2 linked regions of the Caenorhabditis elegans genome follow. The protein of the gene in region 1 purifies or fractionates together with the protein of each later gene. This does not show direct contact. Each region holds a gene or a part of one and is shown on either strand. Other genes may lie near its edges. The genes, in order: urm-1 and homt-1.

What was found.
Region 2: the proteins of urm-1 (region 1) and homt-1 fractionate together in Caenorhabditis elegans (co-fractionation; one large-scale study listed by BioGRID). This does not show direct contact.

Annotation. Positions count from the first base shown.
Region 1 is NC_003281.10:10,503,512-10,506,687, forward strand, and holds urm-1 (Ubiquitin-related modifier 1 homolog), read left to right. Parts: upstream 1-1,968; coding exon 1,969-2,056; intron 2,057-2,106; coding exon 2,107-2,321; 3' UTR 2,322-2,388; downstream 2,389-3,176. Other genes in the region: Ras-related protein Rab-33, read right to left, coding at 239-340; taf-11.3 (Transcription initiation factor TFIID subunit 11), read right to left, coding at 562-714, 1,005-1,104, 1,157-1,245, 1,300-1,494, 1,540-1,588, 1,635-1,735; sip-1 (Stress-induced protein 1), read right to left, coding at 2,661-2,862, 2,919-3,176. UniProt on the Caenorhabditis elegans protein: Acts as a sulfur carrier required for 2-thiolation of mcm(5)S(2)U at tRNA wobble positions of cytosolic tRNA(Lys), tRNA(Glu) and tRNA(Gln). Serves as sulfur donor in tRNA 2-thiolation reaction by being thiocarboxylated (-COSH) at its C-terminus by MOCS3.
Region 2 is NC_003279.8:4,074-12,176, reverse strand, and holds homt-1 (Alpha N-terminal protein methyltransferase 1), read left to right. Parts: upstream 1-1,946; 5' UTR 1,947-2,028; coding exon 2,029-2,082; intron 2,083-2,330; coding exon 2,331-2,450; intron 2,451-5,849; coding exon 5,850-6,140; intron 6,141-6,880; coding exon 6,881-6,982; intron 6,983-7,818; coding exon 7,819-7,956; 3' UTR 7,957-8,061; downstream 8,062-8,103. Other genes in the region: nlp-40 (Peptide P4), read right to left, coding at 488-536. UniProt on the Caenorhabditis elegans protein: Alpha-N-methyltransferase that methylates the N-terminus of target proteins containing the N-terminal motif [Ala/Pro/Ser]-Pro-Lys when the initiator Met is cleaved.

The sequences.
Region 1 (3,176 bases):
TTTGAGGGAAAAAAAAGGTTTTTTTTTAGGAAAATTTATTTTTAAAAGTTTCCTAAAATTTTGGTCATTTTCTCAAATTTCAATGTTTTCTTTTCTTTTTTCATCAATATAATTTTAAAAAATTGCATTTTATGTTATGAAAAGTTTTCCCGATTTTTTGAATTTTTCGGAAAGTCGAAAAATTTTCGTTTTTCAAATTGATTTTTCCTCTGAATTTCTCCATATTTCCAGTGCTCACCAGCTCATCAGGATGAGTTGCAGTGACATGTTTCGGTGGATCAATTACAGTAGCATACGTGGAGAACTGAGGAGCCGGGATGTTCACATGATGCTCCGACATATCTGAAGAAATTTGGGATATGGGGGAGGATTTTGAGCAAAAAAGAAAAGAAATTAGATATTTTAGTATGTTCAGAACATTTTAGAGAAATTAAAAAAAGGAAACATAAAAATAAATATTATTAAAAAAAAACAAGAACAAAAACAAAAATCTTGAGATTCATATAATTAGAAACCGGTATTAATGATTAAAAAAAAAACAAAAAAAAAGCAAAAAAAAAGTCAATACTTCGCTCCATACGGTGGCCACAATTTTCCCTCGGCCAAAAGTTTGTCGAAAGCTCGAGTGATATGATACGGTTGAACTGGACGGTCTTGCTCATTTAGAGCTCCACGGAGCTCCACAGCTTCTTCCACAAGATCTCCGATGAACATCTGCAAAATTTGGATTTACGCGGTTTTTTTAATTCTTAAAATCGAATTTTGAAAAAAAGTTAGTGAATTTTTATGATTCTTACTTTAATTTTTCTTTGGAATCTGTTTTGAAACACTTTTCGCCCAACTTTCAGACGGTTTTTCCTAAAAATTGGCCTAAAAATCGAAATTTTTACACTTACTCAATATTTTTGCGGAAAAATGCTCGAAAATTTGACGAAACAAAAAGAAAAACTGATGATTTTAGCCGTAAAACGAAAAATTTAGAATTTTTTTTTCGAAAAACTCACTTTCGTAAGGCCAGCTACTGCAAGCGCAAGTGGATCACTGGGAATTTGTCCGGTGGTTCGAGTAATCACGTTTTTGATGATTCTTCTGTTGAATCTCGATCTGAAATTCAATTTAAATTCAACTTTAATTGCTTTTTTCTGGCTTGTAGCACCTTTTAAACGCCGTATAGCGATCCAGTTGCTCATTCGAAAAATTCGCAATCAAAAGTGACTCGGCAATAGATTTTTCCTCATCTGACTTCTGAAAATTTCAATTTTTATTCGATTTTATTCGCTTTTCTTCAAAATTTCATACATTTATCGGAGTATCTTTCTCCTGAATCCAACTTGCAGAAGATTTCATTGCAATGGAATTTGTGGACGAGCTAGCCGTCAAAATTCGCTTTCTTGAGCCACTTTTTTTAGATTTTAAGCTCAAACTCTCTTCTGAAGTGCTCTCCGGTATGAAGCTGCTGCTGGAAGCGCCACTCTCGGAGATTTTTCGCTTTTTCTGAGAATAATTAATAAAATTCGTCGATTGTTTGGCTGTTCATACCTCTGGAGGAGTATCCTTTGATAATTCAGCAATTTCGTCTTCTTCACTGCTGCAGATGAGAAATTTTAAGCGAAAATTGGCAGGAAAATTCGTACCTCATCTCCAAATCCTTCAAAACTGAGGTCGGAACTATCTCATCGTCGCTGTCACTGTCGCTGAGACCGCCAAATAGGTCATCGGCAGCTGTTTTTGACATTTTTCTGAAAAAAATGTCATGGATTTCTGATTTTCTAACAATTTTTATTAAAAAAATGAATAAAAAAGGAGGAATCCAACACGTCAATGAAAAAGAACTCTCTATCGCCTCCACTCTCTAACGCGTAGCAATGGAGCGTAGTTGCACAATTTCACCGTGTACTCCTCTCGGGCAACTTAATTTTTAAAGTTTTTTTTTTCGAAATTTATGTTTTAAAGTATTATTGATTTCAGATGAGCACAATTCCAGTCACAATTGATTTTTCCGGCGGAGCCGAGTTTCTCGTCAAAGCAAAAGCACAAAAGGTTCAGATTCCGGCAGGTACTTGATTTTTGAATTTTAAAAACGAATTTTGACGATTTTTATTTCAGACTCTACACTCCGAGACGTGCTGAAATTTGTCCGGGACAACCTCGTCACGGATGTTCACCGGATAAATATGTTGCTCAACGATGACGCCAGCGAAGTTGCTCACGGAGTGATTACCCTTATCAATGACACGGATACCGGATTGCTGTTAGAATACGATACGGTTATTGAGGCAGGGGATACGATTACTTTTGTCTCGACGCTTCATGGTGGATGAACTCGGATTTTTGCTAATTGTTTTGTTTTTAAGCTGTTTTTTAAGTTGATAATGAATTTGAAATGTATCACTTCGAAATTAGTTAACAGAGCAGGTATCTTCAACGGACGAAGGTTGCTGAAACTTTCGACGAGCGGAACTTTCAAGGGGACTCATCTTAATCGAAGAAGAAAAAACGCTTCACAGAACGACAGTTTCTAGGCATTTCCAGAAAGATGGAAGAACTTTCGAAACCGAAGACTCCCCCCTGTACCCAAAACAAAAGAAAAACACTTTTTTTCTCATTTTACAGCTTTATTTTTGTCCTGGCAGTATGTAATCTAGAAAGTTGGGGGCAATTTAGTGCTTTCCGGTGGTGGTGGTGCTGGATGGCTTCTGGGTGACAGCGTGTCCAGCAGAAGTGTGGATTGGAAGAGCACGAACGGTGGTGTTGGAGCCGGTCTTTGGAGCATCGATGGTCATCTGTCCTTCCTTGTTGATGACGGTGTGGATGTGAGCCAAGTCGACGTCCTTTGGAAGAGTGAACTGGCGAGTGAACGATCTGAAAATTTTTAATTAATTTTAATTCCAATAAATGAAAAATAAAATAAAACCAACCTCTTGCTGAACCCGTGCTCGGTCTTGACCTCGTGGTGTCCCTCAATGGTGAGAACGTGTCCCTCAAGATTGACCTTCAACTCTTCCGGCTTGAACGCGGCGACGTCGAGCTTGACACAGAACTTCTGGGCGGTGTTCTCGACCTCGTTGAGCTGTTGTGGCACGATGTTGTTGAAGTTGTTGAGCATGCTGTGACGCTGAGCCCAGTATGGCATCATGTCCTCGAAGTCGCGGAAGAGTCCGGTTGGACGGCCAGTG
Region 2 (8,103 bases), on another chromosome or scaffold:
AGAATTTATTACAGAAAAACGTGAAGTTGAATACCTAGAAAAGATGAAAATGTGTTTTGATACAGTGCATACAGTACTTGTTTCAAGTATAAAACTAATTTTATTAATTAAACGTTTTTCTGTAATAAATTCTAAATTCTTACCACTTTCGAGCATTCAAAAGCATAATTTCAGACAAGAATTTCCAGACTCCCAGAGGTCCGTTGCAGAATTTGAAAGCATATTCTTGTAGCCAATGATCTCAGCTTCCGTTTGGCATATGTGGCGTCTCTAGGTACCTCACCCCTAAGCTGACCTAGTCAGAATTTTCATTGATTTTTCATAAAGAAGAAGTCGTGAGAAAAACGATGAATTGATGAAAATTAAGCAGAAACGAAAATTCGAAACTACATTACTCACTGCTTTTCGAATTTAACAAAAATATTGCCATACCGAGACCGGCAACTGTATTTTTGGCGGAAAAGTATTATCTAAAGCATAAACTCACCAAAAACCGCAACTGTCGCAACAAAAGATAGCAGAATTACGAGTTTCATGTTGATTGTGTATGTTTGGCTTACTGTAAATGAAATTTTTTTTTTCGAAAGAAACAATTATAATTTTAAAAAATCATACGTTCTTCTCGATCTCTAGAACCGAAGAAGTTTGGGTGGCGCTGGAGGGTGACGCGGCAAGAATGAGTAGCTCTCGGAGCCGCCGTTCAGGCCACGCCCTGCTCTAGGGGGCGGGCATGCGCAACAAGGGCCGTCACGAGAAAGAGAAGGAAAAAATAAGGATGACCTATGTGCCCTTCTAGAACATTGAAGATAATCAAAAGCGATGAAAAATTGATGACGTCATCAGCTCGCCGCGAAAAAAGAGCGGCGTTGCGCGCCAAAAGTGTGAAAGACTGAAAGTGTTATCAGTACCATGTAAGATAGGGGGGGGGGGGGGGGTTTATGTCGAGAAGGCATACACAGGTGGAGTCTTTCAAAATTAGACACAGAAATTATTGGAGAAGAATAGAGCGGGGCAAACACTATTTTTGGGTTTCCGTGTTTTTTTTTCCGCTTCGTTTTCTCTTCCAGTGACGCATTGTCTCTGAATTGGAAATACAAGAGTCTCACCTATACCTGGAGGCCTCCATGGAGGTCGTAATGTTTGTCGGAGTAGAGTTATTACGGGAAAATATTTTACGCGCAAAATATCTCGTAGCGAAAACTAATGATTACTGTAGCACATGTGTCGATCTACGGGCTCGAATGAAATTAAATTAATTCAAATCATTTATTTATTTATTTAGAATATTAATTGAGCGAAAAAATGTAATTAAAAATTCATTCCTGAAAATCGAGATTCCGTAAATCGACACAAGCGCGCTACAATAGTCATCAGTTTTCGCTACCTTAAAACTTGCAAATTTCCGCGACTTTTCAAACCAATCAGCGACTTCGAACTCCGCCTACTCGATCTGATTGGCCGGAATATGGGGCGGAACGAATCTCTGTTCGGTCGCAGTTCTAATTTTGGAGGGAGTTACGGACATAATTTAATAATAGATTAAATATTAGAAGAAAACAGAAAAATGGCAAAAAATACGAAAAGACTATACCAAATTGAATATGGCTGTCACAATTCGAGCAGAAATTCGTTTCGAGAATCGAGCCCGTAAGTCAACACAAAGGCTACAGTAGTCTTTTGAAGAATTGCTGTAGTTTTCGCTGAGCGTCAAATATGTTGCAGCAATGAGAGTTACAAACTACAGTACTCTTTAAAGGTGCATACCTTCACATTTAACAAAAATAGTCGTGTCGAGACCGTATGCCGTAAATCGACACTGATAGCCGTGGCCTAGTTTTCCAGATTTTTCTTGTGTTTCTCTTCCATTAAAAAAACGCACATGTCTGTTTATCTTTCTCGTAATAATTTTCCCGATGAACTAGTAAATATAAATATCTCATTTCCAGTATCATCATCATATCCGTGACCTCTCGTCTTTTCGTCACAAAAGTCTCCAGATTGCTCGGAGCAGCTGTCACAACATCAAAAATGAGCTCTTCATCATCTTCTAGAATTCACAATGGTGAAGATGTTTATGAAAAGGTACAAAATCAAAAAGTTCGGCCAGCACGCAAATCTTTTGCGGAGAATTTTAGACCAAAAATTAAAAAAAAAACCGAAACATTTTTTGAAAAAAAACTTTTTTATTTAAAATTATCGAAAATACTAAGTTTTTCTGAAAAAAGCTGAAAATTTGAAAAAAAAACTCTATAACATGTAAGAATTTTTGAAAAAAACTAAAAAAAAAATTTTTAAGTCTCAAAACAATGTTTTCAACTATTCTCTTTCAGGCGGAGGAATACTGGAGCCGCGCGAGCCAGGACGTCAACGGAATGCTCGGCGGATTCGAAGCGCTTCACGCGCCCGACATATCGGCGTCGAAACGATTTATTGAAGGACTGAAGAAAAAGGTATAGAAATCATCGATTTTTCAGGAAAAGCAAGAAAGATCGGTTTAAAAAATTATGAAATTTTATTTTAAAAATCGAAAAATCAACAAAAAAAATCGAAATTTTAGAATTTTTCTAAAATCGGTAGTTTTCGAAATAAAATAAAAATGTTATTTTAAAAATTATTTTAAAAAATTTCGAGAAATTCAAAAATCGAACAGAAATGTTCGATTTTTTGCTACAGTGCATTTTTTTTCCACTTCTACGACTTTAAAGGGGGGCGCATTTATGCGGAAGGGTCTTGCCGTGCACATAGTCATCATTTTTAACAAAGTCTGCTCAAAATTCGCGGAGATCACGCGTAGATCACAATTAATTTGTGAAAAAGCAACAGAAATACGAAATATGGGATAAATATTTTGTGATCTTCATGTGATCTACGCGAATTTTACACAGAAACTGCTAAAAATGATGACTAAATGCGCGGCAAGACCCTTCCGCATAAATGCTCCCCCCTTTAAAGTCGTAGAAGTAGGAAAAAATGCACTGTATGGTGAATTTGAAAATTTTCTAAAAATCCGAATAATTTAGTATATTGGGGTTTCGACGAAAAATGCCAATTTTTCAGTAATTTCTGGTCTTTTCTAAAAAAATCTACATATTTCAGATCTCTTCCTCCTTTTCCGAGTTTTTTCGTTATTTTTTCTAAACTCACAGTATATTAGCGAATTTTCAACAAATTCGACAAAAAATTCTGACTGTTTTCTAGAAAAAAAAAAAGGCGGCATGCGCAAGTTTCAAAATTTGCCGCACACCTCTGGGCATTACCTTGAAAGTATCAATGGAAAAGTGTCGCAAGATTTAATTTTCTGATATTCCCCCCCCCCCTCCCGTTTTACTTGTTTCTAGGTTTGAGTTTACTTAAATTAATAACAAAACTGGGAGATATATGCTCGAAAATTAGACAGAATCTCTGCCTGGACGATTTCTAGGCTACGCCGTCATTCCCATAGTTTTCATAATCTTTCGGCTCAGTGATCGAAGCTCGCCGCGCCAGCCGGCACAGTAAGATTTAAAATCAGGTTATCACCCCATGCGTGAAGATTTTTTTCGTGTTTTTTGTCTGAAAAATAATGACAAATCTGTGTTTGGGTAGGCCTAATGAGGTCACCTGATTACGGCTGATGAGCAAAGCAGAACTTTTTTTGCAAAAAACTTATCATTGGGGGGTTCTGAGAAATAGACGAATTTCTGAGAAAGTTATGAGAAATAAATAGACGGCCTAAAAACCCCATGGCCGAAGCTTTTTTCTAGATAGCATAATGATGGCCTAGAAAAAACTCTACCACTGGAGAAACTTAATCGGTGTGCTCATTTTCTACCTGGTCGGGGATTTTGGAAAACTTTTCCACACCTCGTAACGACTTGAGGATAACTCAGCTCTGTCGAAATAGCATCCTGATGGCCTAGGAAAAGCTCTTCCACTGAAAATGTTTGGTCGTCCTGTCTATTTCTCTCATGGTCGAAGATTTTCAAAACTCTTCCACAGCTCCGAACGACGACCTGTAGTCACGATCAGGATTTGGAGGTCAATTCTCCTCGTACGATATCTTCTCACCTGAAAACTAGGTGAATTCCGTCGTGTGGAGCCTGAACGCTTCCCATTTTCACGTGACCGAAAATTTTGTAAGACCTCTTCCACCTCGAATTTCTCGGCAGAAGTGGGGTACTGTAATCTCAATTTTCTGGCAGATGCTCCAAAATGTTAATTTCTGTAATTTTCGAATTTTCGATGCACCATGTCTGAAATAATACCAGCTGGAAGAGTTTTCCAATTTTCTAGGCTACGCGGCAATTTCTGACCTTTTAGAAAGTTGTTGCAATATAGGTTTGCTATGAAAAATTCAATTAAATCTTTTTCCGAGTCTTCTTTCCCGGAAATCAAATAAAACGCCGAAACTTTTTTCTCATTTTCTTTTGATGGAAAATGAGAAAACACGGCAGATTTTCAATATTACTTTGGCACCCAAAACGCTTTTTGTTTTCAGAGAATGATTCTTTCTTGTTGTTTGCCAACGCACGCCACACATTACCACATATGACGAATCTTCCGCTTGTTTCGAAAATGACTTTCAATGGGGAGAGAAAGGGGAATATTCTTGAAATATGAGGCAAAAGTTGCGATTTTTTTGGAGTTGACTGATGGGAAATGCGCATAAAAAGGCGGTGAAAGGCTAAAAGTTTGTAAATCTGGTGTAAAAACTCGGATCCTAGAAATATACCCAAATTTAATGAGGTCTGAACTGAAATTTTCTGTATTTATTTTAAATTTATTATACTCAGAGAAGGAGTGAAGGTTCGGAATTTTTCTATAGACCCTATTTATTTTCCTGATTCCGAATATCAATGTGAAAAAATTAAAACAAATTTTCCTCATTTTCATAAATTTTTGTAACCAAGTGTGAAATTCAAACGACAATTTTTGTCGCTTACAAAAATTTATATAAAATCAGGGAATTTTTTTTGAATTTTTCACATTGGTATTCGGAATCAGAGAACATAAATAGGGTATATAGAAACATTTTCGTTTTCCTTTATTTTATAAATTCTGAAATTTTCGTATAAACCACGACACGGCTAACAAATTTGCATGAAAGTTTTTTAGCCTTAAAAAAAACAACATTGAAAGAATGATGAATAATGGTTTTTGACGGAATATAGGCGATAAACGCCAAAAAGTGTCTATCGTATAAATTTTGAGACTGACGGGGGCTATACGTTTATGAGCCGTAGAAAATTTTATTTTCATCAAATTTTTATGAGATTAACATTCGGTCGAACATATAGGGGTTTTCAAACCCCGATTTTGAAAGTATAGGCCCAAATTGTGCTCAAATAAACGAATGTCGTAATAATACTTCTCAAAAATGGTTCAAAGTTTTTTATGTGGCTCAAAATTTCGAAAAATGGCCCAATTACCGAAATTAGACTTTTCGGCAAACGGGAAAAACGGCAAATGCAAAATATTTTTGCCAACTTGTGGGTTTGCACATGTTTTTTTGTTGGAAATTTCAGAATTTCAATTTTTAAAACAACAAAATTGTCCTACATCTATTCTGAAAAGTCAGTAAATTCTATAAAAATATCTGAAGAAAACGGGAAAAAAAATTCAAAAAAGCACTGTGTTTCCGTCTTAATAAAAATTCCTTTGAGAAATTCCTGCAAATTGATATCCGGCAAACGGAAAATCGTCAGTTTGCCTGAATTGAAAATTAAATTTAAAAAAGGTAAATTCGGCGAACCGGCAAATTGTCGTTTTTGTCAAATTTTCGGCAAATTCAGAAAATTGACAATTTGCCGATTTGCTTGAAATTGCCGGTCACCCCTGGGCCAACTTTGAATTTTATAAATATTTTCCAGAATCTATTCGGCTACTTTGACTATGCACTGGACTGCGGAGCGGGTATCGGACGTGTTACAAAGCATCTCTTAATGCCATTCTTCTCGAAAGTTGATATGGAAGACGTCGTCGAGGAGTTGATCACGAAAAGTGATCAATATATTGGAAAACATCCACGAATTGGAGATAAATTCGTCGAAGGACTGCAGACGTTTGCACCGCCCGAACGACGTTATGATTTGATATGGATTCAATGGGTTTCAGGGCATTTGGTTGATGAGGATTTGGTTGATTTCTTTAAAAGATGTGCGGTAAGCACTAGATAGCACTGAAAACTGAAAATATGTTGAAAGTTTATAAATAAGAGGGGGTCTTATTTATTACGTTCATAAATAAAGCATGTAGTTTTTAAACAAAATTCTAGGTAATTGAAATGCTTTGAGTAAAACAGAAAAAAAAATATTTTCGATGCTCCGGTTATTTTTTAAGCGAAATAAAATTGGATTCTTTCTGTAATGAAAAAATAGTAAAAAACAATATTCAACCGAAAAAACTGAGTCTAGAAAATCTGTATCGGTTAAAATTTTTTTTTAAAACAACAATTTTTCACATTAAAAAGTCAATTTCGTACATTTTTTCCGATTAAAAATTTAAATTTAAAAATTAAAAACATTTACTTTTTCGATTTTCTTTCAAAAAAAACCACTGAAAAATCCGGAACATTCGGATTTTTTTTCAATCAATACGATCTCCTTGATTTACAACCTGTTTTATTAAATTTTCAATTTTCCTTTTTATTGAAAAAATCGGGTTTTTAAACTTATGTCCGGTCATTTCCCTAATTTTCAATTTTAAAATTAAACTATTTGCTTACCTGTAATTACAATTTTGACCACAAAACAGAAATTGAAATTTTTCGATTTTTCAGTTTTTTAAAAGATAAAACCCGAAAAACGTGCAGGCCTGGTGGTGGACTCAAAAGTTGAGAAATCTCTGAAAACTGTTTCATTTAAAATAATTCAATTTTTTTAAAATTAATTTTCATTTTCAGAAAGGACTGAAACCTGGTGGATGTATTGTGCTCAAGGATAATGTGACAAATCACGAGAAACGGTTATTCGACGATGATGATCATAGTTGGACGAGAACAGAGGTGCTGGTTTGAGAAAAAATAATAAAAACTTTGAAATTAAAAAAAATTCACAAAAGGCTCATTTTACAAATTATTCTGCAAAAAAAACATTCGAAAACAATTAAAATTTTGAAAAAATGAGAAGGGTGTGTCGATTTACGACGAATTTTTGGACAGTTTGTACAGTTTAAAAAATTTTTGTTTTTGAACCAGTTTTGCCAATTTTTCAAATATTCGCCGAAAAACGGTTCAAATTCACAAATTTTAGCCAAAAACTGTATAAACTTGCCCACGTGTAGTACAAAATCGTTAGTGAATCGACATGCATAAAAAACGCCAAATTCCGAAATATTTAATATTTAAAATTAAAATTCATTTAAAATTGTTGTTTCGTCTCGAAATTTAGAAAATATATTCTGAAAAAGGACATATTTCTTTTATTTTGCCAAAAATTTCAATGTTTTCACCCAGACTCGAAATTTCGCGATATTCGGGTCAAAAATACTGTAATTGGGGTCTCGACACGACACGTTTTTGCGAAATTCGAGCAGGCGTGCACCTTTAAAGAATACTGTAATTTCAAACTATTGTCTCATAGTTTTTTGTTGAAAAGTGATTTATTTAAAGAGAAAAACTATGAAAAATATATGAAAATTCCACAGAAATGAAGTTTTTAAACTACAGTACTTCTTAAAGACACACGCCCGTTTGTATTTCACAAAAATTGTCGTGTCGAGACCCCACTTACTGTAATTTTAGCGCGAAAATCGCAAAACGTCACGTTTGGATAATATCGAAGACAATTTGCACGAAAACAATTTTTTACTAAACATTTTTTAAAACAATTCATTATTCAGCCCGAGCTTCTTAAAGCGTTCGCCGATTCTCAACTGGACATGGTCTCGAAAGCACTGCAAACCGGATTCCCAAAGGAGATTTATCCAGTAAAAATGTATGCATTGAAGCCTCAACACACCGGATTCACCAATAATTGATTTAAATATCGATTTTTATTCGTTTAATTGCAATTTTCCCGAAAATTTCATGTTTTACATGCGTGCTCACGTTATTTCTGTTAAATAAATGTTAAGCAATATTTTAGATGATATTCTGTTGAAAATTTTATTCAAAATTGGTCAATA